Linked DNA regions of Neurospora crassa OR74A. The protein of the gene in region 3 purifies or fractionates together with the protein of the main gene of each other region. This does not show direct contact. Links are inferred from orthologs where the notes say so. Each region holds a gene or a part of one and is shown on either strand. Other genes may lie near its edges. The genes, in order: NCU08663, NCU05233, NCU06226, NCU03009, NCU09317, NCU02546 and NCU08595.

What was found.
Region 1: the proteins of NCU06226 (region 3) and NCU08663 purify together in Saccharomyces cerevisiae (affinity purification with mass spectrometry; 3 studies listed by BioGRID, with this or other methods). This does not show direct contact. The link is inferred for Neurospora crassa OR74A from reciprocal best matches to the Saccharomyces cerevisiae genes RPL25 and NMD3.
Region 2: the proteins of NCU06226 (region 3) and NCU05233 purify together in Saccharomyces cerevisiae (affinity purification with mass spectrometry; 3 studies listed by BioGRID, with this or other methods). This does not show direct contact. The link is inferred for Neurospora crassa OR74A from reciprocal best matches to the Saccharomyces cerevisiae genes RPL25 and NOP53.
Region 4: the proteins of NCU06226 (region 3) and NCU03009 purify together in Saccharomyces cerevisiae (affinity purification with mass spectrometry; 3 studies listed by BioGRID). This does not show direct contact. The link is inferred for Neurospora crassa OR74A from reciprocal best matches to the Saccharomyces cerevisiae genes RPL25 and ZUO1.
Region 5: the proteins of NCU06226 (region 3) and NCU09317 purify together in Saccharomyces cerevisiae (affinity purification with western blotting; 3 studies listed by BioGRID, with this or other methods). This does not show direct contact. The link is inferred for Neurospora crassa OR74A from reciprocal best matches to the Saccharomyces cerevisiae genes RPL25 and MEX67.
Region 6: the proteins of NCU06226 (region 3) and NCU02546 purify together in Saccharomyces cerevisiae (affinity purification with mass spectrometry; 5 studies listed by BioGRID, with this or other methods). This does not show direct contact. The link is inferred for Neurospora crassa OR74A from reciprocal best matches to the Saccharomyces cerevisiae genes RPL25 and NOG2.
Region 7: the proteins of NCU06226 (region 3) and NCU08595 purify together in Saccharomyces cerevisiae (affinity purification with western blotting; 8 studies listed by BioGRID, with this or other methods). This does not show direct contact. The link is inferred for Neurospora crassa OR74A from reciprocal best matches to the Saccharomyces cerevisiae genes RPL25 and RPF2.

The regions. Positions count from the first base shown.
Region 1 is NC_026504.1:4,180,580-4,184,465, reverse strand, and holds NCU08663 (60S ribosomal export protein NMD3), read right to left. Parts: upstream 2,700-3,886; 5' UTR 2,433-2,699; coding exon 2,371-2,432; intron 2,310-2,370; coding exon 812-2,309; 3' UTR 501-811; downstream 1-500. Other genes in the region: NCU08664 (tetratricopeptide repeat protein 1), read right to left, coding at 3,098-3,838. UniProt on the Saccharomyces cerevisiae protein: Acts as an adapter for the XPO1/CRM1-mediated export of the 60S ribosomal subunit. Unlikely to play a significant role in nonsense-mediated mRNA decay (NMD).
Region 2 is NC_026504.1:5,668,606-5,672,157, forward strand, and holds NCU05233 (60S ribosome subunit biogenesis protein NOP53), read left to right. Parts: upstream 1-1,201; 5' UTR 1,202-1,433; coding exon 1,434-1,585; intron 1,586-1,658; coding exon 1,659-2,865; 3' UTR 2,866-3,052; downstream 3,053-3,552. Other genes in the region: NCU05234 (GTP-binding protein ryh1), read right to left, coding at 1-22, 107-132, 229-275; NCU05232 (AP-2 complex subunit beta), read right to left, coding at 3,375-3,552. UniProt on the Saccharomyces cerevisiae protein: Late-acting factor in the nuclear maturation of 60S ribosomal subunits, which is required for normal acquisition of export competence. Required for the export of the large subunit.
Region 3 is NC_026503.1:1,965,160-1,968,606, forward strand, and holds NCU06226 (60S ribosomal protein L25), read right to left. Parts: upstream 2,004-3,447; 5' UTR 1,828-2,003; coding exon 1,803-1,827; intron 1,577-1,802; coding exon 1,512-1,576; intron 1,434-1,511; coding exon 1,141-1,433; intron 1,080-1,140; coding exon 992-1,079; 3' UTR 501-991; downstream 1-500. Other genes in the region: small zinc finger protein Tim8, read left to right, coding at 1-59; NCU06227 (hypothetical protein), read left to right, coding at 2,407-3,324. UniProt on the Saccharomyces cerevisiae protein: Component of the ribosome, a large ribonucleoprotein complex responsible for the synthesis of proteins in the cell.
Region 4 is NC_026501.1:8,457,541-8,461,349, forward strand, and holds NCU03009 (zuotin), read right to left. Parts: upstream 2,320-3,809; 5' UTR 2,223-2,319; coding exon 1,929-2,222; intron 1,855-1,928; coding exon 811-1,854; 3' UTR 501-810; downstream 1-500. Other genes in the region: NCU03008 (hypothetical protein), read left to right, coding at 2,600-2,657, 2,742-2,915, 2,983-3,086; NCU03007 (pre-mRNA-splicing factor slt-11), read right to left, coding at 3,351-3,809. UniProt on the Saccharomyces cerevisiae protein: Component of the ribosome-associated complex (RAC), a heterodimeric chaperone complex involved in regulation of accurate translation termination and in folding or maintaining nascent polypeptides in a folding-competent state.
Region 5 is NC_026501.1:4,264,639-4,268,873, reverse strand, and holds the start of NCU09317 (hypothetical protein), read right to left. Parts: upstream 2,801-4,235; 5' UTR 2,274-2,800; intron 2,198-2,273; 5' UTR 2,067-2,197; coding exon 1,629-2,066; intron 1,547-1,628; coding exon 26-1,546; 3' UTR 1-25. Other genes in the region: NCU09318 (ATP-dependent DNA helicase mph-1), read left to right, coding at 3,289-4,235. UniProt on the Saccharomyces cerevisiae protein: Involved in the export of mRNA from the nucleus to the cytoplasm.
Region 6 is NC_026501.1:2,685,305-2,689,285, reverse strand, and holds the start of NCU02546 (nucleolar GTP-binding protein 2), read right to left. Parts: upstream 2,801-3,981; 5' UTR 2,469-2,800; coding exon 2,159-2,468; intron 2,098-2,158; coding exon 1,732-2,097; intron 1,677-1,731; coding exon 1,513-1,676; intron 1,132-1,512; coding exon 112-1,131; 3' UTR 1-111. Other genes in the region: NCU02545 (hypothetical protein), read left to right, coding at 3,164-3,981. UniProt on the Saccharomyces cerevisiae protein: GTPase that associates with pre-60S ribosomal subunits in the nucleolus and is required for their nuclear export and maturation.
Region 7 is NC_026501.1:9,517,966-9,521,522, forward strand, and holds NCU08595 (ribosome biogenesis protein), read right to left. Parts: upstream 2,198-3,557; 5' UTR 2,096-2,197; coding exon 2,082-2,095; intron 2,016-2,081; coding exon 1,907-2,015; intron 1,837-1,906; coding exon 1,514-1,836; intron 1,444-1,513; coding exon 864-1,443; 3' UTR 501-863; downstream 1-500. UniProt on the Saccharomyces cerevisiae protein: Required for biogenesis of the 60S ribosomal subunit.

The DNA.
Region 1 (3,886 bases), on a different chromosome or scaffold from region 3:
AAACCCCCTTTTCCCTTTTTGCCTTTAGCCCACCTACTACTGAACCCCTGACCCATGTCACACCCAACCCTCAACTCCACCACACAATTCATGAACAATTCGTGCTTTTCCGGTTCAAGAACACATCCTCTGGTGACAAAAGCATAAAACAATCGGAAGCCATCCTTCATCGGGTATGGTGTAGCGGTAACATCGTTGACTCTCACTTGTTTACAAGTGTCTGTTTTCTCAACAGCCCCGGGTTCGACTCCCGGTATCCGAGCGATAACGATCAACCTTCTGGTTCTCTTTTTTTCGTTTTATTTTTTCCATCTTTTCTCTTCGTTTCAAAGTTGTTCCTTGGCCCCCTCTGCATCGTTGTGAAACCCCGCGCATTTTGTGATATGTTTTCCTTTTTCTGGGGTTGTATGCTTTGGAACCTTTGTCCGGACTCGAAATAAACCTGTTTTCATAATTGATGATGACCGAAGGCGACAAGATAAAACAGACGGATGGAAAACATTTTGAGCAGATGTGTAACACTAGGCCTTGACTGACCAAGATCATCGTACATGACAAGTTGCACATCTTCGTTGATTTAGTACTTTGACGGTCGTAGCATCCTTTCAACCACGTCTATGCATTCACAACTATAAAGACAACAGAATGTTGGATGCAGAGGGCGCCAACACGGCAAGCCCATTCCCGAATCTATTCATGAAATGCCTTAAAAACGCAAACCCTGAAGAACAGCTAACTCCCAGAATTTTGATTTACCCCGAATCCCAAAGCCATTCACATCCACATATCAGACTCCAATCAAGATCACATCCTACTCCTTATCCTGAATCTCCATTTCCTCAAAGTCATCGAGGAGCTCGTCCATGCTGATCTTGGGGCCATCCTCCTCAGCCTCCGTCATCATGTCGGTATCGGCAATGCTCATGGCATCCGCCTCCCTCTTGGTCTTGAGCGAGTTCTTGTACAGAGCAAGAGCAGCACGAAGCTCCTCGTCCTCCTCGACATCGCGCAAGAACATCTCGTACTCGGCATCCATCTTGGCCTGGTCCGAAGCCTTGGGCAGCAGCTCGCCCTCGTCCTTGGCCATGCGCTTGAGCTTCCAGTTTCTCTTTCTGTTGCGGCGGCGGTTCGGGTAGTGCTTCTTGACGAGAACAACGTCAGGGATCATGGAACCGTACGCCTTGGAGCTCTCAATCGCCTCGAGCGCGTCCGAGTTGAAGTTGGTACCCTCGAGCATGTAACCCAGCACCGAGTCACCGGCGTGGAGATGCTGGCCGAGATGTGTGCGAGTGAAGTAGACGTTGTCGTTCACGCCGAGATCGGAGGCACGAGCGACCTGGACCTCGGAGAGAAGCCACTTTCCTTTTCGTACGCCTGTGGACTCGATGTCCATAACGATAAACTCAACAAGATCGGGAGTGCCGGCAAGCGGATGGAAGGGAGCACGCCAGTAGATATCGGCGCTGACTTCGGCGGTCTGGAGGGTGTTGGGGTCGAGAAGGTTGACAGATGTTCCTATCCTGTGGCAAAGGACAAGGGGAGAAATGTTGCCAATGGACTTGGCGAGTTTGAGAGGAAGGGCAACCAAATCGTCTCTGCAAACAGGCACGATTTCGACGGAGTAGTTGTACTTGTACGACTTGTTGCCGGTGTGTGTATCCGCGGAAATAAGATGCCTCGACTCCTTGGTGAGAACTGGTACGACGGACTTCAGGAAGCTGATGAATCCCTCGGCCTGGTTCTTCTGGGCAAAGTAGAAATCGATACCGTCCTTCTCTTCCTTGATGTTGATTGTGTCGCGATGGGCCTGGTGCCTGAGAATGAGCTGTTCGAGGAAAAGGAACGTCCTCTTGTGGGTGACCTTTTGGCGGACCTGTACGGCGGCGCGCCAGACGTTGGCTGTGTATGACTTGGCGCAGTCCTTGCACTGCTGGCTGGCGACGACGTAAGTGACCTCGAAGCTTTGCTGCATCAACACACCATCCGCCACCTGATCCTGAACCGTAACCTGAACCTTGACTCTTCGCGAATGGGGTTCTGTCCAAATGAACCTGGCGTCTGTGATGCGGACCTTGCCCAAATTCCTCAGTTTCTTCAAGCATAGCGACAACAACTCTCTCGATTCGGGGGCGGCTGTGACCCAGCTGGCGGGGGGTAGGAGCCATCTGTCGCAATCTTTGCAGAAGTGGAGGGTGGCCTCGCGCTGGATGCCCTGGGAGATATCGACGGTGGACTTGATGCAGTCGTAGCAAAGAGCGCCGGCGGAGGATGTGCCATCGATGGGAGCGCCGCAGTTGCAGCAGAGAATGCTATTGGTGGTGTCAGCAATCATGCCTTCGATAACCTTCAGTCTTCATGGTCAAAACTCACGTAGCACCTGTCCTGGCAGAGCCCATCAACGGGGCCATGGCCATAGGAGCGTCGAGATCCATGATTAATGAAGTTGTGGTTTGCGACAAGATATGAATCGGGGTATCAATTGTAAAAACAAACAAAAGTCGCTATGTCGTGAAAAGGAAAACCTGGGAGTTCCGTCGCAATCACAAGTGAAGTTGCTGCGGATGAGAAAGAAGTTGACGACTGGAAATTTGAATGGACCAGGACGAGAACGAGTCGCTGGGGGGGAACGTTGGAGGCGCTGACGGGACGGTCGTCAATAAATTTCTTGATGGGCCCAGCACCAAATCGCCCCGCGCTGCATTGATAAGCAATTCGTTATCGGCTATCGGCTACCGTGGGTACTTAGAGGTATTAGCACAAGCCAGTGCAGCAGTACGTACAATTGTGGCGTTCTACTGCCGGCTTTGCCACACCAATAAATCAGCCTCAAAACTTATGGAGCTTTAGCTCCGGCCAGCTGTATTGCAGCTGTCGGGTACGAGCTCCTGATCATCTCCCCCCCTTGTCGATCTGTTGACATTGAACTGTCGATTCGTGTTGACTACTGGTCGATAATATTTTCAGGTGACTGGAAAATCAGCTTTCCCAGTCAGAGGTGCATATGGCTGGGTGACTGGACTATCAAGAAGCCATTCATCCTCAACCACGACGCTGGTAGGCATCGCAAGAGCCCTGACCCTCATTAACTTTCACAACATTACTTTTTGCCTTCGCCACCACCTCCCTGGAAATTCATGCTGTAACCACCGGTCTTCTCATCCTTCACCATCTTGAAATGGTCAGTGCTAAGACCAAACGGCTTAAGCAACCCATTCCCAAGGTCCTTCAACTTGCCCCACATTTCAGCAGTCTCCTTCTCCTGAGCAGCCTTGGCCCGGGGCGGCAGTGCTCTGAGTTGCGCCTGGACGAGCTTTCGGTCGGTAGCCGTAAGGTTGGTCATGGCAGATAGCTTCTTGTAATCCTCGATAGCCCCCTCGAGGGTGGACCATCCACCCAGCTCGCTCCTTGCCCGGGCCCGGCGTAGCAGAGCTTTGGCCCGTATCCTGGCAATATCCTCTAGTCGCTTTTGGCGGGCAATCTGCGCTTCAGTTTCCGTGACAGGAACGGCGGGTCCGGCCTTTGCTGCACCAGCGCTGACAATCTCCTCTTCGACATCTTCCTTCTCCTTCTCTTCCTTCTCGGCAGCCAGCTTGTCCTCCCGCTCTAGCTTGTCAAGCAAGTCCAGAGCTTTGGTTGCGTGCGTGATGGCATCCTTCCAAGCTTCCAGCATGAGGTGACAGGCGGCCACGTTGGAGCGCAAGACGGCCAAGGGGTAGTCCAGGTAGTTTGGACAAACAGCAATGGCTTCGTCATATTTGTTGAGGGCGGCATCGTATTTGCCCGAGGTGAAGAGGGCGTTTGCCTCTGCTTTGTGTGTGTTGGACTCAGCTACCAATTCCTGCTGAGGCGGTCAGTCACAGAGGTTTGGGCATCAAGAGGGTCTTTG
Region 2 (3,552 bases), on a different chromosome or scaffold from region 3:
GTGATGAGCGACGTCTTGCCGACTGTTTGCGCGCAATCGTTGAGTTAGCATTGGTGTCTCGGAGAACATCGTGGAGAAAGTGTTGTAGGTTGAGGTAATCGCATACCGCTTTGTTCGCCCAAGAAGACCAACCTGGCGAGGAGAAAGAGTGGTTAGCATCTTGTCTTGTTTTGTCTTCCATTTGACTTAAGTGCATTGTCTGCAAAAGTGTCGGGTATGTTGTCTTACTTGAATTTCTTCAAGGGGTTGTTGTATGACCCGCCTGCTTGCGCCATTGTGATGGATGTGTTTGCGGATTAACGGTATTTGGCGGGGTAGGTAGGTAGGTAGGTAGGTAGGTAGCTGAAGGTATTCGGAAACACGATCAAGGGGAGGAAGCTTTCGGACTTTGGAGGAGGTGGTGGTGGTTAAGTGGCAGAAAGCTTAGTAGTGTAGGCGGTCGGAGTTGGTCTAGAGTTAGATAGGTGTCTGCTGGTCGTCGAAGTGGAAGATGGACGGCGGCGGAGAGTTGCCGGAGACTGATCATGCAGCGTTGAGTGGTCTCAGTGGTGCGACGGACGGGGCGTGGTGGCCGGGGGGTGGATGACAAGGGAGCTTGGAGGACAATCGGGTCGGTGTTTGGGATCCAGTCGGGGTCTCGTTGCCGACTTGGTTGCTGGGGTCTTTGCAGTCCGTCGAGTCTTCGTTTACCAAACAAAAATCGGGTCGAGAGATCGTTTTATAAGAGTTGATACCACAGAGAGCAGAAAATACTTGAACATTTAATATTTTGTTTGGATACAGATTAATTGATTGACCGACATTCCGTATGTACGTATGTACAAGTTTACATGTTTTTATCCATTGTTTATGCATAACCTCAAGTTCGAACAACAAAGTGTTTCTTGCGACTATTATTCAGTCTTCTTCCCCGAAGCGGACTCATGCGAGAGAAAGGGGACCGCGCCAAGCGATCAGTGGAGGGAAACAGTGGCCGCCCGCCGCCTTTCTGCGCCCAGACAAATTCGACACTTCACTTGACCAAAACGACCGAGACCGGGCATCCAATGGAAGCTTGGCGGCCGTCATTGGATTTGTCCAGAGGCCGAGGCAGCTTGGAAGTCTGATTGGCTAATTGCTCCAACTGCCAGCTGAGCACGGCTGGGGAAGGGAACTGAAGCGCTGGACGCTTGTGTTCCATGAAGTTGCTCTTCCCTGTCCTGTCTCGGGCAGGTCTTTCTTATCTTATCGCTGCCTCCTGTCGCCGCTGAAATTTTGAGTTGCACACCCCACTGGGCAGTCGGATTGATTGCAGAGGAGACCCCAGAATTCCAGGCGGTTTCGAGGTATCAATATTTCCAATTTCTTATCTGCCTCGAACCTCCGCCGACTCGTTTGATTTCTTCGAGTCGTCAACCCAACAACACAACACACCATCACATCACATATCCAAAATGCCCGTCCTAAAACCCTTGTCGGGCAATCCCGAAGCCCCCAAGCAATACAACCAACCGTCGAGAAAGGGCAAGAAGGCGTGGAGGAAGAATGTCGACGTGACAGAGGTCGAGCAGGGTCTCGATGAGTTGAACGCCCAGATTATCAAGGGGTACGGCGCTCCTTCTGTGATGCTTTGTATTACCAAAGACACCAATTGGTTAACATGAATTATCGTATAACAGTGGTGTCATTGCCGAGAAGACCTCCGAAGAACTCTTCGCCATCGACGTCAAGCCCGACACCGAAATCACCAAGAAGCTCCCCAAGCAACTCAAGAAGCCCTTGAAGGCCGACGAGATCCTCGCCCAGCGCTCCGCCGTTCCCGCCGTCTCCCTCAAGAAGCGCCCGGCTTCTGAAACCTCCGGCAAGGTCACCGACGGCGTCCTGCCCTCCAAGCGCCTGCGGGCCACCTACGTCACCCAAAAGGAGCTCAGTCGCCTGAAGCGCGTTGCCGACGGCCACCACACCACCACGGTTGAGGTCGTTGACGCCACCTTTGACGCCTGGGCCGACCCAGAGGAAGAGCAGAAAAAGAAGCAGCAGGCCGCGGAAACGTTCAACTTTTTGCCCAAGGTCGAGAAGCCCAAGGCGCCCAAGACGCTCACACAACAACCCATCTCCCTCGCCGCCACCGGCAAGCAGCTCCCCGCCGTTCCCAAGCCCAAGGGCGACAAGTCGTACAACCCCGCCTTCACCGACTACTCGGAGCGCTACCAGGAGGAGCTGCGCAAGGCCGAGGAGGCCGAACGGAAGCGGCTGGAGGAACTCGAGAAGGAGCGTCTCAAGGCCGAAGCGGCCGCCAAGTCGCGCGCCGAGGCCGAGGCCGCCGAGAAGCGCGCCGAGCTGTCGGAATGGGAGGATGATTCCGCCTGGGAAGGGGCCGAGAGCGACGCGGAAGGGTTGGCCAACAAGAAGAAGCGGCCGGAGCGCAAGACGCAAGCCCAGCGCAACAAGATCAAGCGCCGCAAGGCCGAGGAGCAGCGTCTGAAGCACGAGGCGGCCATCAAGAAGAGGGAGGCCGAGGCCGCGCGGGTCAAGCAGATTGCCAAGGAACTGGCCGAGAAGGAGAGGCAGCTTGCTCTCCAAAAAGCCGAATCCAACAATGTCGAAGAGGACGATGCTAGCCTTGAAGAAGATGACGACGTCGAGCTGCGCCGTAGGCAACTAGGCAAGTTCAAGTTGCCCGAGAAGGATCTGGAGCTGGTCTTGCCGGATGAGCTGCAGGATTCGCTGAGGTTGCTCAAGCCGGAGGGTAACTTGTTGAAAGACAGGTACAGGAATATGTTGCTTAGAGGCAAGGTGGAGGCGAGGAGGCACATTCCCTTCAAAAAGCAGGCCAAGACAAAGGTCACGGAGAAGTGGACTTTCAAGGATTTCAATCTGGCTTGAAGCGGCTCGGCTGGGTTTAAGTTTTGGGGCTTTACGGACATATACATATTCGGATTTGTTTGGTAATTGTTTTTCCTTCTACAAAATATTCCCTTTTGGTTTTTGTTAGTAGTACGTTTGTCATGTGTATATTGGCGTTTACGGTTTTCTCACTTGGTCTTCAGTGCAATAAAAGGTTGGAACATTCAAAGTGGTCCTATGCTCGCGTTTTTGTCTTTCAAGTCTTGTAGTGAGATGACATTACATGAATGTCTTCACACTCGCCCATTAACACACCAGAACATACGTAGTGACGGGATATTACTTGTTATTCGCATTATCTACAACCAAAAACCCTAACTGGATATCTTTTCCCACCACCCTACCAAATCACACACTCACCACGCTTCCCCAACTCCTAGTCTGTCTATTACATTACTACCTTGTCTCTCCTCTCTTCCCACTCTTACCCCTTCCCATCCCATCCCCCCTTTCCATTCGGAGCTAGGCACCCCTCACACCACACTCCCTCACAACAACAAATCCCCCTGAGCCCCATTCATCCCTCCCATGCCATTCATCCCCCCCATCCCCGGCTGGTACGCCGAGCTCTGACTGACCACGTACCCCTGTCCATACCCATAATGTCCCGCATCCCCACCAAAACTGTCGCCGGGCTGCTGTATCTGCATCTGCCTCATCTGCTGC
Region 3 (3,447 bases):
ACGTCAACCTGACCATCATGGCCCACGTGCAAAAGATCACCAGGGGTGGCAGCAAGTAGGTCTCGCGCGCCGATAGGAAGGCGTGGGAGGATGCTTATCAGGAGGAGGAAAAAAGATGAGAACGGGACAAAAAGAAAAGAGGAGGCAGAGGAAGGAGGATGGCGAAAACGGTGACTTGTTTCCCTTGAGGAACTGGTTGTCCCGCGGGGCTGGCTGGCTACGTTTTTCGGTTGGCTGGTCCTGCTTGGTGGGCTTCTTGGGAGACTTGGAGGATGCGGCCGAGGTATCCGACGCTTGTTTTCATGGTGGTTCTGGCTGGGTCTGGTACACTCGGGCTTACTACGACGGAACGGGGGTACAGAGAAGCACCCTTTGCTAGGGAACCTTTGTTGATCCCTGCGATAGGGCTTGCGATTGAGGTTCTGGTCACAATTCTAAGAGACAGTCATTCGAGGAATTGTTACGGTTACGCCTGAAGGCTTGTACGATATATGTGATGGGACAGGGGAAGGATCAAAGGTAGAACTGGAAGGGAAAAGGGTTTATAGGGCATGGGAATTTGTTCAGGAACTTAGACAGTATGACAGGCGGTTCTTGTAGCATGATATGGGAGCGCGCGATAGCGGGATACTCATCTTCATCTTCAAACACAGACCCAATGCGCAGTGCAGGATAATTGGTTATAGAAGTGCAGATAACAATGCGACAATGAGTCCATGGTGATAGCAAGAATACAAGATGTCAGATTCAAGTCTTAGAGCAAGTAGATCTATGGCTTGCAAGGGAGGAGTTTGGATAATGGCCCATTTGGTCATGTCTGATGGAACGGGCAGAATAGTTATAAAAACTTTCATTTCCATGCCATGGACCAAACGCCAAAGGGGTATCAGACGCCGACTTCTTTTTCGTTAAACAGTAAAACCCATGTATCCCTTGAAGATAGTTTTTATCCCGAATCTTGTGTATTTCCCATAGCTATGAAATCGCTAGTTTAGACAAGGCCGAGCTTGGTGGCAGCAATGTCGAGGGCATCGACATCGGCAGTGAGGCGAGCGAAGGCCTTCTTGGAACCGTCAGGGCTGTGAGTGGAGTTAGCAACAAGAACCATATTAATGCCGGTCCATAGGGACCAAAACTAACCGGATCAGGGTGTTGATCTTGACGGTGTCAATGTCATAGAGCTTCTTGAGAGCCTGCTTGATCTGGGCCTTGTTGGCCTTGACATCGACGATGAAGACGAGGGTGTTCTGCTCCTCGATCTTCTTCAGGGCACCCTCGGTGTTGAGAGGGTGGACGATGACCTTGTGCTCATCGAGACGGGGCTCGTGAGGGATCGACTTGCGAGGGTACTTGGGAGCCCGAGACAGCTGAAGAGTCTTGGGGCGGTGGAAGGTGGTCGAGTATCTGACCTTGGTCTTCTTGTGCGAGTGCACCTAAACAGAGAAAAAGAACTCTAATCAGCATCAGAACGTCACCAGGGGGGAAGGGATCGCGAGTCGTCGCAAACTTACACCCTTGAGGGCAGCCTGGGCAGCCTTCTTGGCCTGAGCGCCCTTACCGGCCTTAGAGGCACCGCCTATCCATAGAGTCCCTCGTCAGCAAAAGCATTCGCCTGGAGCAAGATGATGCCAGAATCTTGTCCAAACTCGCAAAGTCTGCTGCTGCTTTGGTGCATCACCTCCGAATGCCATTGCGCGACACGGAGGATCCGCATTGTGCGCGGGGCGAGCATATTTGTCGAGCCGTTCAATTCATTCTTGGTGGAATCGTCGCTGGTGAGATTTTGAGGTTTCTTCAAGTACCTTTCTTGGTATCCTTAGGGGCCATTGCTGCGATTTCTGCTGTCGTCGGGCTAAGAAATCGGGATTCTCGCTGGTCGTTGTCGGAGAGGAGAAAGTTCACTTTTTGGCCAAAATTTGGGGGAGGAAAAAGTGTGCGCGCGGGATTTGTGTGGCTTGGTAGTGTGGCTGAAGTGGTACTGGCAGGGGTTGAGCTGCGCAAACTGGCGCAAACGGGCTCTGAACCACACCAGAATATCCACTTTCGCGAAATATGCTCCACAGTATTTTGAATCTCGACCTCCGATCATCACTTTATCGCTACGCACTCCGTCATTCAACCTTGAAGGTCATGATGCGCCCTCCGATCCAGCTTTCCTCCTTCTGCTCGTGGTCTGTCGGATGAAGTCGGTGCAGGACACCTTGGATTTTCACAGCTCCAAGCCTCGCTGTTCTGTGCCTATCACGACCTCCAGACAAGGACGTGGTGTAGTTGTCTTGCTAACTACAGTGTCACGAACCACCAATCGAAATCGAAAACCAATCTCACCGAGACGGATCACAGTATCGACAAGATCGACTATTTGCGGCTATATACTTGTTACAGCATAGCACGCGACGAAGGACTATGGCACCCAAGAAAGGAGTAAGCAAGAACCTTGCAGCTGGGCGTCCGCCCATGGCTACGCGACCTAAGAAAAAGGGAGTGGTCAAAAACCTGGCAGCAGGCCGTCCGCCCACGGTCACAAAGCCCAAGTCACTTGCGCGGAAAACCACGAAATCCATCATCAACAAACTCCATCTCCTAGAGAAGAGGAAGGTGCAGGCTATGAAGAAGAACGATAACACACAGGTCGCGGCAATTGAGGCGGAGATCGAGGCTTTGGGTGGTATCGAGAAATATCAGGAAGCAAGTCTCCAGGGGCAGAGACATGACCGAGGCGGCGACAGCTCCAACGTGCTCATGGAGTGGGTTGGGCCGTACCTCTCATCCGAGGAGTATAAGGAAGGCCGCTTGCGCATGCTGGAAGTTGGAGCGCTGAGTACAAAGAACGCATGTGCTCAAAGTAACCATTTCGACATCACTCGGATCGATCTCAACAGCCAAGAGCCTGGGATTCTTGAGCAGGACTTCATGGAGCGCCCGTTGCCGAAGGACGAGTCGGAGAAGTTTGACATCATCAGCCTTTCTTTGGTGCTCAACTTTGTCCCAGACCATAAGGACAGAGGCGAGATGCTGGTCCGCACGACACAATTTCTAACATCGCCGAAGCGGTTCTCCGGGACAACCGCTGCATTCTTTCCAAGTTTGTTCCTTGTGCTACCGGCCCCATGCGTCACCAACTCGCGATATCTGGATCAAGAGAGGTTAGCGGCTATTATGGAATCGATCGGGTACGAGATGGTGGAATCCAAGACAACCCAACGGCTGGTCTATTACCTGTGGAGGAGAACATCAGATCAGGTTGGAAACGACAGGCCGTTTCGCAAGGAAGAGCTACGTTCTGGCTCGTCACGCAACAACTTTGCCATTACCTTGGTCTAAGGTTTGCGAACCATTCGAACGCACACAATCGAGATCAGTCACGACATCTAACAATAAGTCACTCGACTCGACCGTTGTTGGGAGCCGATAGATCGGATGACCACAACATTGGTGTTCTCAGTC
Region 4 (3,809 bases), on a different chromosome or scaffold from region 3:
GCAGGTTTTGGCGTACTACAGTACCTACGTACATGGACTGAGAGTGAGTTCAAGCTTGACATCTGATCGAAAATTTCCGGAAATCGAATGGCTCAGACTTTCCGGGAACAGTACACCTAGGAGTTCAAGGTGGCTGTACCTCAGCTTTGCGATCAACGGTTTGAAGGGCCCTGGACTTGTTCCCTTGCTTAGCAGTGACTTATATGTGCCTTGTGAGCTTTCCTTCTTGTTCTTTCCATCTGATAAGAAATGTACCTGCGTCGTCGGCGAAACACGCATGTAATCGTGAATTATGTACTTAGTTGCATCTGCCACATGCGCATGTGATGATGCTTTTACAGTTGCCGCTCAAGATGGCATGTACAAGCGTGCTTGTGCATGAAGCTTTACCGTACTAAAAAGGACCAAGACTGAGCGAGCAGTAAAGCATTGTTATGCGTACCTGCGTATGGAATTATGATTGTAGCCGGATAGGGGTAGATCTGTCATTCTTAGCAGTAGGTATTGTTTCTCAGGATTTATCCGAATCGTTGAAGAGATGATCGAGCCTACCGGCCAACTCATGCGCTTCATCATCAGAGTTTGGACCCACTTTCAACATCACAGCAAGTAGGGATCTCTGTAGCAGTGACAACCAGAGATACGACATCACACGTCGAAGCAGAAGTTGGCTGGCGAGGAAAAAAGTATACTCCATCTCCAATGGTATCAGTCAACAACTCTGTTTTTCTCCAGGTCTAGATTCTAGTAGTGATAGACAAACGCCAACATGATCATTCACTATTATCTCATGACTCGGTAAGAGATCATTTAAGCAGAAAGAGCCTTGAGGTCACCGGCGTTGATCTTGCCGGCACCGACAAGGCGGGCGGCCTCCTCGTTCCAGACAGCCTTGATCTCGTCAGCGACCTTGAGGTTGTTGAGCTTGCCAGCGAGGGCAGCGATCTCATCGGGATCGATCTTGGCCTGGATAAGCTCAACGTCACCGAGAACGGCATCGATGGTGGCAACAGAAGCATCGCCCTCAACGAAGTAGTTGGCATCCTTGACGGAGCCACGGAGGACACGCTTGTTCTTCTTAACAGCGTTCTTAGCAGCCTCCTTGGCCTTCTTGCTTGCCTCACGGTCCGCCTTGGCCTTCTCCTCGGCCTCCTTAGCGGCAGCCTCCTCAGCAGCCTTCTTGGCAGCAGCCTCCTCAGCGGCCTTCTTCTCGGCAGCCTCCTTCTCGAGCCTCTTCTTGTTCTTGGCGGCGTTGGCCTCCTGGCGGAACTTCTTGATACGCTCATCGGCGGCCGAGCAGTCATCGAGCAGCTTGCGGAGACGAGCATTGTCCTCAGCCTTTCTCTTCTTGCGGGTGTTGAGGTTCTTGCGCTCGGTGTGGCGTCTCTGGTCGCGGGACTCGCTGTCATCGGGAACATCCTCATCGAGGTACTCGAACGACCTCCAGCTGTCGAAGTTGTAGAAGAAGTTGTAGAAGTTCTCGACCTCTTCGCGGGTAGAGTTCTCGTTGCCGAAGCTGGGGACGGGCTGGGTGTTGCTGAAACGGCCCTCAGCCTTGAAGACGTTGCCCCAGAGCTTGTAGAAGTTGCCCTTTTGGAGCTGCTTCTTGGTGGGGGGTTCGACATCGGCTTCCTCATCAACAGAATCGAACTGGCGGCGCTTGATGGGGTCGAGGAGGACCTCGGTGGCCTTCTGGATGCACTTGAAGAAGTTGTCGTCCTCGGTGCGGCCAGCGGCGGCCTTCTTATCGGGGTGGTGCTTGAGGACCTTCTTGCGGTGAGCGCGCTTGATCTGCTCCTCGGTGGCCCTCCAGCGGTACTTGGAAAGGCCGAGAACCTTGTAGTGATCTTGTTGCTGTATACGGGGCAATCAGGTTAGCTGTCAAGGTCTTGCGTGGCGTGATACACCATTACACGCTGAGCACTAACCTTCCAGTCCTTGGCGTCGCGAGAGAGCATCATGGGGTCCTCGGGCTCGCTGAGGTCGCTCTCATTGTCCTCCTCGACGTTCTTGGCACGCTCCTGGGCCTGAATACGGTCATCCTCGGAGAAGGTGCGCTTGTGGCGGGCGCGGCGGGCGTGGGCGAGGAAGTGAGGGCCGACGGGCTCGATGGTGCGCTGGGTGGCCTCGTTCTGGGCAATCTTGCCGATGGGCTTGAAGTCCTTCTCGGCGGTCCAGCCCTCAGGGAGGGTGGGGAGAGGAAGGGGAACCACAGTAGTCATTTTTGCGGCCGATGATGAGGATGGTGATGGTTGGGTTGGGAGACAGTGACAGGCGCAGGAACCAGAAGCTTGTATAGGCGGGGCCCCTCTGTTGTCTTTTTACCGACGGAATTCTGGAAATTTTTCGATGGCTAAGCTCCCCACATCTTGCTTATCGACCGCCAATCACAATCATCGCAACTCCAAGTCCACTCCGGCCGGCAAGCCTACCCGGTCCTGGGCGACATTTTTGGAGGTCGCATTGCCGTCACTGCAACTGTTTCCAGACAAGCCTTGAATCTTTTTGTTAGACCGGAAGTTGGCGATACAATACTATTTACTTTCTTTAGAACCTGCATTCCCTTGCATGACCCTCGTTTACCAGCAGTATTGTCAACATGTCTGCCCTTCAAGCCTACCGTCACCTCATGCGCGCCGCGAGAGTTGCCTTTGATGGTACGATGTTCCCCTGCAGTCTCCTTGGTGCATCCGCCGGCCCATGTAGCTCCCCGGACTGACCGGCATGTGCCACTATCTTAGGCGATAACCGCACCCTTACGGCCGCCTACGAGTCCATCCGCCGTGGTTTCCGCGAGAACCAGAACGTTCCCGCCAACGATCCTACGATTGCGCCTGCGATTGCGCATGCCGAGGAAGTTGCCAGCTTTTTGAGATCCAATGTCGTCCAGGGCCGTAAGGACGGCGAGACCTACAGTGAGCGAAGTCTAGGGGTGCTCGAGTCATATACAGAATATGGTTGCTGACTCCATGTTCGTTGCAGAGCTACGGATTCACCAGGACACCGAGCGCGGCGACAACGATACCATCAAGCTAGGCAACCAGACCATCAAGATCGGCGGCGAGCAGAAGTGCTGCTCGGCATAAGTGAATACAAAACCATGGTTGGATAACACAAGGATTTTGGAAGCTCAAGTTCGTGAGAACGTAATGGGACAACAGGACAGTGCCGTTGCCCGTGTATATGTATAAATCATCAATGATACCCCTCAATGTAGAAAACTAGTGGAAGAGACCATGCGATATCAGGAAATGCAACGTATCCGAGATACCCTGAGCCCAAACCCCAAATCATAATAGCCTCCGAACGCCTTGCAATACCATGATTAATAAGCACTTTTCTGACCCCGCTTAGTTGCCAGAGAGACTGGCGTACTGTACGTCTGCCGCACCGGGCGGCGCTGCGATAGTGAGGTTAGATGCGTCGTCTTTCTGCGCTCCTGATGCGCCACCCTGGGCATTTTGTCCCCCGATCGCCTTTTGGCCACCTGTCTTTTGACCACTGCCAAAGGCCGACCGACCATCTCGTAGCATCTCCGAACGCTGTTCCTTGTTCATTGTTCCCAACGCCTTGGGCACGCTCCATCTAACTCTCAAGGGGCATCCGGCAATGACAGCACGGCCTTTGCACTCCGCTGAAGCCTTCTCAGCAGCCTCCCGAGTCTCGTAGTTGACGAACGCGGCATGCGACATGTGCGACACCACCAGCGACTTGATCTTTCCGAACGCCTTGAAGAAGTCGCGAATCTTGAACTCAGGCAGATCATCTTCGATACCGGTGACGAAGAGGGACATTATGCTCTTGTCGGC
Region 5 (4,235 bases), on a different chromosome or scaffold from region 3:
TGACGCTGGTGACCTGCGCTGTCCCCTAGACAGCGTTGATAAAGGCCGTGGGCGGCAAGTTCGCCCTCTGCTCCTCGAATGACTTGAGTGCCAGCTCAAAGTTCCAGTTGGCAGTGCCACTGAGACACAACTCTGAGTATTCTGCTGTCATGCCAGTCCGCTTCATCACCTCCTGAATCAGCTGGTTCTTCGTGGCATCATCCAACATGACAGGTTCTGCTGGAGGCACAGCGTTGGTAACCGGAACCTGCGGGACCTGGTTGGCGACAGGGGCCTGACCAGCAGGTGTCTCCGCGGGTGTCCAGTCATGAAGGGTGAGTTGATCGCTAATAACCCGGTATGGGTGCACCGGCGGCGGGTTGCTCGGCTTGCTGGGTCCAAGAATGAACGTGCGCGTGAAGGTGCGCTTTCCGTAGAGGTTTTCTGTAGTATCGGACTCTTCAAACTGGCCATTGACGGTGATGAGCAATCCCGTAGCGAAGCCGTGGCCGGTGGGGTCCGCGAGGTTGGGGAAGGTGTGGCAGTCGATGAGCCAGGCACCAGGGTTCTCCATGCTTGGATGGCGAGTACTGGGGAGAGCCTTCCACATGTCCGCAATGAGATTTCCTCCGGTGAAGAGACGTTGTACCGTTGCTGGATTCTTCTCTCCCAATTTGTGAACGTTGCGGGAGTATTTGAGGTAAGTTTTCCAAGGAAGATTACGACCAGAATTGGCAATGGCTTGAATCGAAAACCACGAGTCGTCGTCGTAGAACTCAGCGGCGAGGCGAGCTCTGTCGCTGTCGAACATGGGGAAGAAAACTTGGACAAAGATGCTCGCCACATTGGCCTCCCCGTCCCGTAGGTTGGAGGGGAACTGCGGTAGTGGCGTGGGGTGCATGCCCTTGAGGGCCTCAGTAACCTCTTGTGGGCTGCGAACAATTTGTCCGTTGATGTTCTGTAGCGATGGGAACCATTTGATGAGTTCTGCCACGAAGTCGGGCTGGGTGGTGATGGGGTTGCCTGTGAGATGAAGCTCTTCGAGGTACTGAAAGCGGTGCTGCCACTTGGAGATCTTGGACAGACTGTCGAGGTTGTTGCTGCTCAGGTCAAGTCTCTTGATATCTGGAAGTGACGTAGCAAGCGTGAAAACCTGCATGACGTCGTTAAGGCCGTTGCTAGCAAGGGAAATGGCCTGTATCCCTTCACGCTTTTCGGCAGCGGTCTTGTACTGCTGACTAGCAATAACTACCAAGACCTTGAAGGCCTTTTCGGCCCGATCCTTGGAATCAAACGTGCCCATGCTGCTGAGGATGGGATCGGTTCCAAGAGAAGATAAGTCAAGCAGCTTCAACTCTGGATTGTAGCGCGCAGCTAGCACTGCTGTCAATTTTTGTTTGGTCTCCTCAGCAGCCTTGGAAATCTTGTCTTCGGGGCGAGGCATCCTCTCGGTGGTTTCCGTAATCGTCAGGGGTGCACCGGCATAGGTGAAGCCATTGAGCCTCAAGATCTCCGGGGCGTCATCTTTTCTGACCGTGATCCACACATAATCGCCGTCCATTATACTCTATCGATGGGTTAGAAGGTGTCGGTTATCGCAGTTGCAGAATATTGCGCGCTTGGGGATGTCGGTGGATGGGAAAGTATACCTTGCCGATTGTAACTGCTTTGTCTTTGGAAGCCTTTCGTTCCAGAAAGGTGAGAAGTGACCGAAGCCCTCCATCGCGATTGCCGGTAGCTTTGCTATTGCTCATACCGTGAATCTTCAGTGTGGCCATATTGGACTGTGTTTTGCCGACGGGACCTCCGCTGACGTAGTTCTGTAGGTTCTGCACGACCCGGGATGCTGTCCGGGAGTTCACCGCACCTCTTCCACCTCGAGCATCTTTGGAGCCACGTCCTCGACCACCGGAAGCCAACCCACCCCTACCAGAGCCACCAGCCGGAGCATCCATTGACACATCTCCATCTCGGTCCGTCCTCGGGTTTGCGCGACGCTTCTGGATTCCGCCACCGCCGCCTGTTGCTCGGGGTCCACGAGGAGGAGCCCTTCCAGTTCCGGCGCGAGGACCAGTAGGAGGTGCCATGGTTGTTCGTTGAATTCTGAAGAGAAAACGTTCGGTGTGAGTTGCGGGTGATTTTTTTTTCTCGCCGAGTTGTTGATGAAAGGACAGTGAGTCGTGGAGTTGCGAGTTGTCCTTGTTCGCCGACTTCTTCGCTGCCCCGATGGTCAAAGTTCCGGTCGTGGTCGGGGGAACTGGGGAAGGGTACTAAGATGCAGAGTCGAGGCTTACCTTTGGTGTCGCCGTTAGGCGGGAGAGCGGCCTGCTCAAGAAAAACAGGCGGCCGATGCCGACCGGGGATTGATCACCGCTGGGTGGATTTGGGACGCTGTATTTGAGAGTGGCCCAGATAGGTGTCAAAGGACACTTCGCTTAGAGTCTAGGTGCGCTTCTCTAAAGGGATTTGTCGAGGTAAAGAAAGATGTAAAAGATGCTTGGAGGTGGGGCGACAAAGACGACGCGGAGATCCAAAGGTACGGAAGTAGAAGTAGAAGGCCGCCGCTTCGCTCGTGATCGTTGGTTGAATATGCGTACGGAAGCTGCTAGCTCTGAAGCAACGGGCGAGTACGAGGATGCGCAAGAGTCATCAGCCGGTCAGTACTGAAGAGTTTGTTGGGCTGCCGATGCCAACTGACGACGCGAGAAGGTCGAGAAATGAGGAAGGTTTCGATGACGGATTGGAGAATGGAAGAAAGAAGGTTCAGCCTGCCGGACCTCCAAAAAGGAAATACCTTAGCGGCGGCAGTGGAGGAGCATGCAACTTGAACTCAAGGCAATGAGCCAAGCTCCGACCAGTGCGCCAGGCTCCAGCGGACCACAGAGACAAGCGATCGGATTTTGACGCAAACCTGCCCCACCCAAGATGCAACAGCCCCACTCTGACGCTGTTCTGCTGCGAACTCCCCAGGCGGCAGCACCCAGACTGCCCACACCAATTCACGTGCTATGGCGATGGAACGTGTCAAGGGAATAGCCCGTCCATTAAAACAGCGACGCGTCTCATATCAGGCCGGGCTTGTGTGACGATAGGGTCGGTTCACCTATGCAAACGGACTGTTATGAATGTCAATTGTTTCACTTCCAAGAATTTCATCCGACAAGCCTTAAGTTTCATCACCAGAACAAGAAGTTTAAAAAAAAAAGGCAAGAAAACAAAGTCCGGTTGTATTAACTGCCCAAGCATCGGCGCATCGAATCTCGAATCGTCAAGGTTCTTTCTTTTCTACAACCTCACAACTCTCAAGTCATGGATGACGATGACTTTGACGATATTCCTGATGAGGATTTGATGTTGGCCTTCACCCAGGCCACCGGCAACATCACATCACATCACCCCAGCAACAGCAAGCAGCTTGCCTCGTCGGCAAAACCACCAGCACAAGCGTGGCCAATATCCGATTCTGCAAGACGAATCGTTACTCCAACCGTATCGCAGGGTCAGGCTACAGCTACAGGGCGTGCCAAAACAGCAAGCAAGCCGACCACGTCAGCGACAACGTCTCGCCCGTCCCTAGCTCAGTCCAGCCAGCGTAAGAATCTGCGTCAGACGACACTATGGGGTGGCACGCTGGAGGAGGATGCGCAACCCGCCCCGCAAGCGGTGTCGAATCGACCATTCCGTGCCGATATGCCCCCAGAGCAGCCCACTCACCATGAGATTGACATAGAAGAAATGAAAACATGGGTTTATCCGATGAATCTGGGACCTATTCGAGACTACCAGTTCAGCATTGTCAAAAATGGCCTCTTCAACAACACATTGGTCGCCCTCCCCACGGGTTTGGGAAAGACATTTATTGCTGCGACAATCATGCTAAACTACATCCGCTGGACAAAAACCGCAAAGGCTGTCTTTGTTGCTCCTACGAAACCCCTTGCTTCACAACAAGTTCAAGCATGTCTCAGCATAGCGGGCATCCCGCGATCTCAGGCGACTCTCCTAACCGGAGAGACTCCTCCTGTTCTACGTGAGGACGAATGGGCAACAAAGCGCCTGTTCTTCATGACACCCCAAACACTAATGAATGACCTTTCCAAGGGCTATGCCGATCCCAAGTCCATCGTACTGCTGGTTATTGACGAGGCGCATCGTGCGACTGGAGACTATGCATACGTCAAGGTGGTCGAATTTTTAAGGCGTTTCTCCAAGAGCTTTCGAATTCTTGCTCTGACTGCTACACCAGGATCGTCTCT
Region 6 (3,981 bases), on a different chromosome or scaffold from region 3:
TATCAGTGACACCGGCCGTCATGATCCGATTGGATCGTTACCAACCCTGAGGTCGGCTATTGAACGCATGCTCGGTTCACCCCAGCCGCCCATCGCGTTCACTGACCGAGTTTACTTCCTGCTCCTCCTTTGCTTCTTCGGGGGAGGTGCTGGCGCAGCCTCGGCTTCTGACTCAGACTCTTCGAGTTCGCTGGCTCCTTCGATGTCGAGGTCGGATCCTTCCTCGTCATCTTCGACGTCAGAGCCCTCCTCCTCGCCATCCTCTTCCTCATCGCTCGACGCGTCCAGGGGTATCATATCTTCAGCAGTGCTCTTCTCCTCACCCTTCTCCTCAGCAGCCTCTTCGACCTCAGAGTCGCTGTCACTGTCGAACCCGGCAAAGTTCTCAGGGTCTTCCTCCTTGGCATCCTCTCCTGCTGAAGCGGGAGTGGTAGCAGGCGCGCTGTCGTCCTCGTCACGTTTCCGCTTCTTGGACATTTCACCGTAGCGTCCTTCGCGACCCTCCATGGTATCAGTCTCACCCTCCTCCTTTTCGGGGGCAGGCGTGAACCAAGGAATCTTGCCTCGCATGAAGTCATTGAGAACCATCTTCGCAACGCCATCAACGTCAGGCTCACCACCCTTGAGAAGTCTGCCGCCCTTCCTAGCAAGCATCTCAAGGAAATGAATATGGTCCTTCCAGCCCTTGAGCTCATATGTCCTCTCCATGTGGTGAGGTTTGACCTTGTTCAATACCGCAGGGATGTATTGCTCCGGGTTATCGACGTTTTCCACACGTACAACACCACGGAGCAGGAGATCCTGTGGCGTATCGTTCTGGTTGGGAGGAACAATGCCAGGGCAGTCGATGAGGTAGATCCTCCTCATCAAGGTGACGTACTGCCAGACCTTGGTCTCTCCGGGAATAGGGGCGACCTTAGCAACGGGCTTCCCACGAAGGGCATTGATGATACTCGACTTGCCGACGTTGGGGTAGCCAACAAGACCGACGCTGATCTGTTTCCTGTCCTTGTGCAGGATACTGAACTGTCTGAGAAGATCGATCAAAGAACCACGACCGAAGGGGTTCTTGATGCTAGATCTCATAGCACATGTAGGATGATCCTTCTGCAGAACGCGAATCCACGCGGCCTATTGTTTTCAGTTAGTCCTCAACTCGTTACTGAATATAACATATATGTATAATGTGAAGAAATGTGTGAATCATAACTAAGAAGACCACCATGGTAGAGTCTGCTCAAAGGCAGGGTGGAATTCAACTCAAACGAAACACGTCCGGTATCCCGTGAAGTCCTCCAAAACGGAGTCCATCAAATCCCCAATCCCAAGACGGGACCAGAGAGGTTGGGAGGTGGATATTAATCTCCCAGCGATGTAACAGACCAATCCCAATGAAGCGCAACTGAATGCGGGAAAGATCCTGACAAAATCCCTGGGAACCTCAGGATTTGCGCGAGGCAAGTCAAGAGATTCAAGCAGAAGGAGTGAAAGCAAATAATGGTCTACACTTACAGCAGTCTTGGAAGGAACAAGATCGATCTTGTTCAGCACGAAAATAAGATGCTTGTGAGGAGCCTCAGTGGCAAGGTATTTCTCAACGTGACGACACCTGGTTCCCAGAGGATCTCTGGCATCGATAACGTGCAGGATGACATCTGACGAATCAATGACCTTGTCTATGTGATGGTTAGCAACCCGAAGTCACAAGTCCCCAAACACAGAAGGACTTACACAGTTCGTTCCAAATACGCTTCGACTGGCCCTTTGTGAAGATAGCCTCCTTGGCCGTCGCGACACTGAAATCCTCCTCTTGAACATCGTCATCGGCAAGACCACCGCCATATCCAGAAGCACCACTTAGAAGCTTGATCTCCTCGAGTCTGGCCTGGTATGTATCCATGCTCTTCTCGCTGTGTTCTGTCAAGTCACCGATCGTGTTGAAGCTGAGTTTTGGCCTCTTCCTTTGGGCCTTGGGGCCAAAGGTCTGTGAAAACGGCTCGCTCTCAATCGTCATCTTGGCTTGGTGCTTCTTCAACGCATCCTTGGGTCCATCTCTGATCAAGCTCATGGGGAGCTTGTTGCTTTTCAACAGCACCGCTACAAGACAAGGTGCGTTAGTCTTGGTCGGCCGGACAAGTGACGGAAGAGTTGAACGTACAGTAAGGATCCTTGTCCTTCTCGGCAATCGCCTCCCGGAAAGATGTCAACGTATCTTGCGAAATGACTCTGGTGTTGTTGAACCATCTCCGGTTCGGCTCGATGACGGCTGTGGGAACATCTCTGCTCTGATACGACGCGGCCTTGACGACCTTGCCCTCCTTGTTGCGAATGGCCTTTCCCTCCTTCAGCACGTTCAAGGCCTTGATCTTCTTTGCGCTCCGGTAGAAGTTCTCGCCCTTGACCTTTGGATCACCCGTCACCTTGCCCTGTCGCTGAATGCGAGACTTTTCCTTCTTTCCTGTTCCCATTTTGGCAGATATCACTCAATGCCAGATTACCGAGTAGGTTGGTGGGTAGAGGATGCAGATGTGGAAGAATTTCGTTCTCGCCTGCGAGAGCGGCTGGGGGTATCCGTAGATCGGGGGGTTTGAGATTGACTTGAAAGAAGAAGCACACGAAAATAGGGAAGAATGGGTAAAAGGCTAGAAACGAGGCTATGGGGTATCAGATATCGGCAGAGGGTGTTGCGTGAGAATCGAGAGGATGAATGGACTGGGGAAGAAGAAAAGAAGAGAGGGAAGCGAGGAAGGAATGAGAAGGAGGAAATGCAACTCTGCGACTGGTCCCGGCGAAAGTTTTGTCAGTTTTTTTTTTGGGCGGGGTGTGGAGGCCGCGCAAAGGTCCCCATGCACAAAAAGTTTAGCGGTGTACGACGGCAGAACGCCCGCGACCAGCAAAGCTAGTAGCACCAAGAGCACTCTAGCGCCGTTCTGGCCTCCCCGAGCTTTCAGAATTTCGACGGAGTTGAAAGCCCCCTCGTACCGCGGCGTGTCCCACGATCCCGAGCCGAACCTACCTACCTAGGAGAGCGAGAGGCCGCTGCACCCGCCTGGTCCGTTCCCTCCGTCGCACGAAACCTCCGCATAGCACGGCCCGGCCAGAAGTCTCCCAACTCCGACCCCATCCCGCTCACCCCGTCTTCAGCCAACCCTCCACCTCAAAAATGGCGCCAACTCTTGCCAGGCCGTCGCTCAGCGGCGTGCAATTTATCCTTTCTTCCCCGACCACAACATGCGCTGCCACCAGCGTAGTAACACGCGCCATCGCCGCCCGATCTTTCAGCACCACCCGATCGGCTAGAGACTCGGTCTCCATCCCCCCCGATTCGCCCAACTACATCAAGGTCCCCGAGCCGCCGCAGTCTTCCGAGGTTAGGCACCCTTTCGTCAAGGGCCACCTCCCGATCCCCCGCTCCATTTTCCCAAAGAAGGGCGTCCCGGAGAAGGTCCAATCCGGCTATGTCAATCGTATCGCTCCCAAGTCCGCCGCCGAGCTGGCTGGTCTGCCGCCCAAGTCGAAACAAGAGTCGTGGCGTCGCAAGATGGCCGAGGCCCGGCGCCAGTCACTCGAGGCCGGTCTGCAGGGACTCTGGCAGCGCAAGGTGAAGCGCGACCAGAAGCAGGCGAAGGAGAGCAAGGCGCGCTACTTGGCGAACAAGCGGGCGGCCCAGGCGCCGGAGCGTCTGGACGAGGTGTTCACGCGCGCGACGATTCGCGAGAGCACGGCCAAGAACACATTCGTACCCCTGGACCCAGAGGCTTTCGTCAAGGCCGAGGAGGCGCGTATTAAACATGCAGAGAAGGAGGCGATGAAGAGCGAGGCGCGCCGGGACGCCGTCGTCCAGCTGTACGTGGCGTCCAAGAACTTCATCGTGGACGAGAAGGAGCTGGAGGAGCACGTCAACAAACACTTCACCGAGAAGATCCACAACGCCGGTCTCTGGGAAAGCGGCCGCAGCATTTGGGATTCGCAGAAGAACCC
Region 7 (3,557 bases), on a different chromosome or scaffold from region 3:
ATCTCGAGTCTTAACTCTTTGGTGGGACTGGCTTTAGTCTCTTTATAGACAAGCATAAGGAAGCCATCATTGATTGATACAACTCTGCTCTAACAAACACAATTTCTGGTACAGGCATTTCATTCATAACCTTGTAGTCAGTCAACATATACACTAATCAATCGTTCTCGGCATGGATATTTGGTTTCATAATTTTGTACTAAATCAGTCTGCAGACTGCCTCACCGACACCCCTTATAGACGTTTCCAAACCAAAGATCGAAACAGGGAATAGTTCATAGGTTTTCCTATGGTTGTACATGATTATGGCATTGTCTTTTTTCTATGATTATAGATAGTTGCAAGGTAGCAAGGTAGCAAGGTAGCAAGGTAGCAAGGTATCCAGGTAGAAGAGGGAAATAGCATGAGTGCCATGTGATAGTAGGCAGCGAGTGCTGACAATACTAGATTCTTCCAAACAAAGCTGTAGCGGCAAATTCGGCCGGTCGATCGGTTGATCCTATGGTCCCATATGTTGGTTGGTATAAATATCACGTATATGCTAGATAGATGTCTAGGTCTACAAGCTTTGGCAAGGCAACTTCACGAACAACCCATCATCCATCAATAACTCCAGCTTTGGTCATCTCTTCTTTTCTGTTGATGATCTGATCTGGCATGAATGTTCATCTTCCCCAAGAGCAGCAGCAGCCAATGATATAAGATAAAGTAAAGTAATAAAACTAAAAACTCCCAAAAACGCCTTGTGTCTTGGTGGATGATCGCAACAATTGTGAGAGAAAAAAGATTAAACCTCCTCCCTGCCTGCCTTCTTCTTCATCCCCTCAACCCCTCATTCTCCCGTCTCCCTACTCTTGCTCAACTCAAAACTCAACGACATCCCTCGCCTTCTTCTTCCTCGGCCCCACGATCCTGTCACTGACCTCCTTGACGCCCTCCATCGGCATATCCGCATCATCAAAGTCCTCATCCACCACATCCCTGCTCCTCTTGAGACCCTTCATCTTTCTCGTCTGCAACTCGCTGAGATCCAGCTTGCCCATATGGATCCTACCAATCTTGTCACCGATGCTGTCCATGCTGATGTTCTTCTTGGTGCGCTCCTCGTTGGTCTTGGGCTTGCGCATCGCAGCCTTGAGCATGTCCGCGTCGGGCTGCTGGAGGCGACCGAGGCGGAAGTCCATGCGGGGGCCGTGCTCCTCGACTTCGACTCGGGGGAGCTTCTGGCCGGAACGCTTGGTGCGGATCAGGTAGGCGCGCAGGTGGAGGGTGGGTTTTGTCGAGGGGTCCGAGGGATCGGTGGAGGAGGAAGTGGGCTCGTCGGCGGAAACGACAACGCAGTACTGCAGACCCTCAACGTCGATCTTGTCTGAGGGCTCGCCGCGGAAGAAGTCGATGAGCATGGATTTGGCGGTGGTGAAGGCGTTGGGGACGGGGGATTCGCTGTGGTACTCGGTTAGCTGACGTTCATTCACTACTCCTTCCTCTTTGTCACAAGAATCGGGGGACATACAAAGCAGTACCGGCGAACACCATCAAAGGCTTGGTGCCTACGGGCACCTTCTTGGTCTTGAACTGGGCAATGCTGCGGAAGGTCTCGGGGTCGAGGTAGAACTCGAGCATGTCGAGCATCTTGTAGTCGAAGGTGCGGCAGAAGGTGATGGTGTGGGGCCTCTTCTTGCTGCTGGAGCCGAAGAGGATGAGCGAGGTGTCGTTCTTCTCAGAGAAGAAGGTCAGGGAGCTGGCGTCCTCGAAGGGGTGGACGGGGTTCTTCTTGTGGAAGCGCTTGGCGTGGGTTTGGCGCAGCGAGTAGAGATCTTGCATGGCATCTTGGGTCTGCGGACTGTATTAGATTTTGATGATACCATCATATATAGGAGGAGAGGATATGGAGGAGGTGACATACGACTTGGCTGCAGGTGGTGCCGCGAAGGAAGAGGGCGGTCTTGGGGTTCTCATTGACCTTGGGGGCACGCTTCTCGAGCGCCCTCTTGGAACGGGCTGTCCGCGGCTTGCTGTGCGGAGAAGAGAACTGTCAGCTAATGTTCGGTATGTTCCATTGTCATGATCGATTGACGTACACTTGGCGGAGCATTTTGGCGGTCTGGTTATGCGATGACGGTAGTGGGTGGATTGGATAGGTACCGCAAGGTGGTGATGTGGACTGGGGACTGTCTCCTTCACCTGCAAATCGTCGTCGTGATGGTCGAGCAAAGAAATTCCAGAACGGCGCTTATCGATAAGAGGAGACCTTGAACTCGAAATTTTGTGGGGCAGGTGGGGTCAAGATTGTCCGCTCGTCCACTGGGCGCTGGCTTTCCCCTGCCTGTCGTTCAGGGGTTCACGGGCTGTTAGGTTCCATTCCATTTCACGCCTCAACGTCACTGCAACGGCAACCAAAATCATTTCCATTTCTGCCGTCTCATCACAATTAGGTTGGTGATGGAGTCAACCTTGAGTTCCATATTCTTGTTCTGATCACTCGATAATCACTTGCTCTTTGGGAAACAAGCATTGAGCAATATGATTGCCAAGTCAGCAACATCACAAAACTCTGGCATCACTCTTACAAGGTCAGCACACTTGAGAAGATTCTGAATACACGAAGCCAACATATTGGGATGGTGTTCTTCTACACTTCGGGTTCACAATACAGATTCCTTAAAACCGTTCTACTCTGACATAAAACCAGATTTCTCCAGTCATTGCTCCCGGCGAGCATCAAGAATGCTCTCATCCACCTACTACGGACCTACCTGGCCTGTCGTTCTCTAACACCATGAAGCAGTTCAGTATAGCTTCCCTCCTCTCACAATGATCTATTTCGCCATGTCCCCTCTCTCTCTCGTGGTCGTCTTGACTGGACCATAAATGTAGGATATCCATCCAACCTGATGAGACTCCCCGGTCTCTTTCCCCATCACGTCCAAACAGCCCATACCCATCCCATCCATACTTTGCATGTATCGTACAACCTCCGGAACGCATCCCATTCACGTGGTGGCTTCTTTTACCGTTGTTCCATGGATCCTCGGCACTCCTCCTTTCACCGCCTCCGCCTCCGCCGTCACTAGGTATGTATGCCATCGGGAAGCTACCTACCTACTTTTCAACGGTTTTGAAAAAGGGCGATTGCATTCTCGTCAAGCCCAGCCCATGCCACTGAAACTGAAACTTAAACTGTCCGCAGCTGTATGTATGTATGTACATGTGGAGTGTTCGGAGACTCGGGCATTAGGAATGCATTTTCGAAAAGTTCTATGCAGTTTCCCGCGACTGAGAAGCCTGGGATGCAAGTAAACTGTCGTGACTCGTGAACTCGTTGGAAGCATGTTCCCGTGAGGGTGTGGTGAGAGAAGGAGGTTTGGATGCGGGTTGTTCCGTGCAGGCGCTCGGGCCAGAGACTCGGACTAGAGAGGTAACTAATATCGTGAGGTTGATGGAACGAGTCTTGAAGACGGGGGGTCTCGATGATGGTGGGCTATCATGGTACGATCATCCTGAAAAGGTTTTGGTCGTTCACGGCTATGTTTCTTCAAATGGCGTCAAGAAAAGTA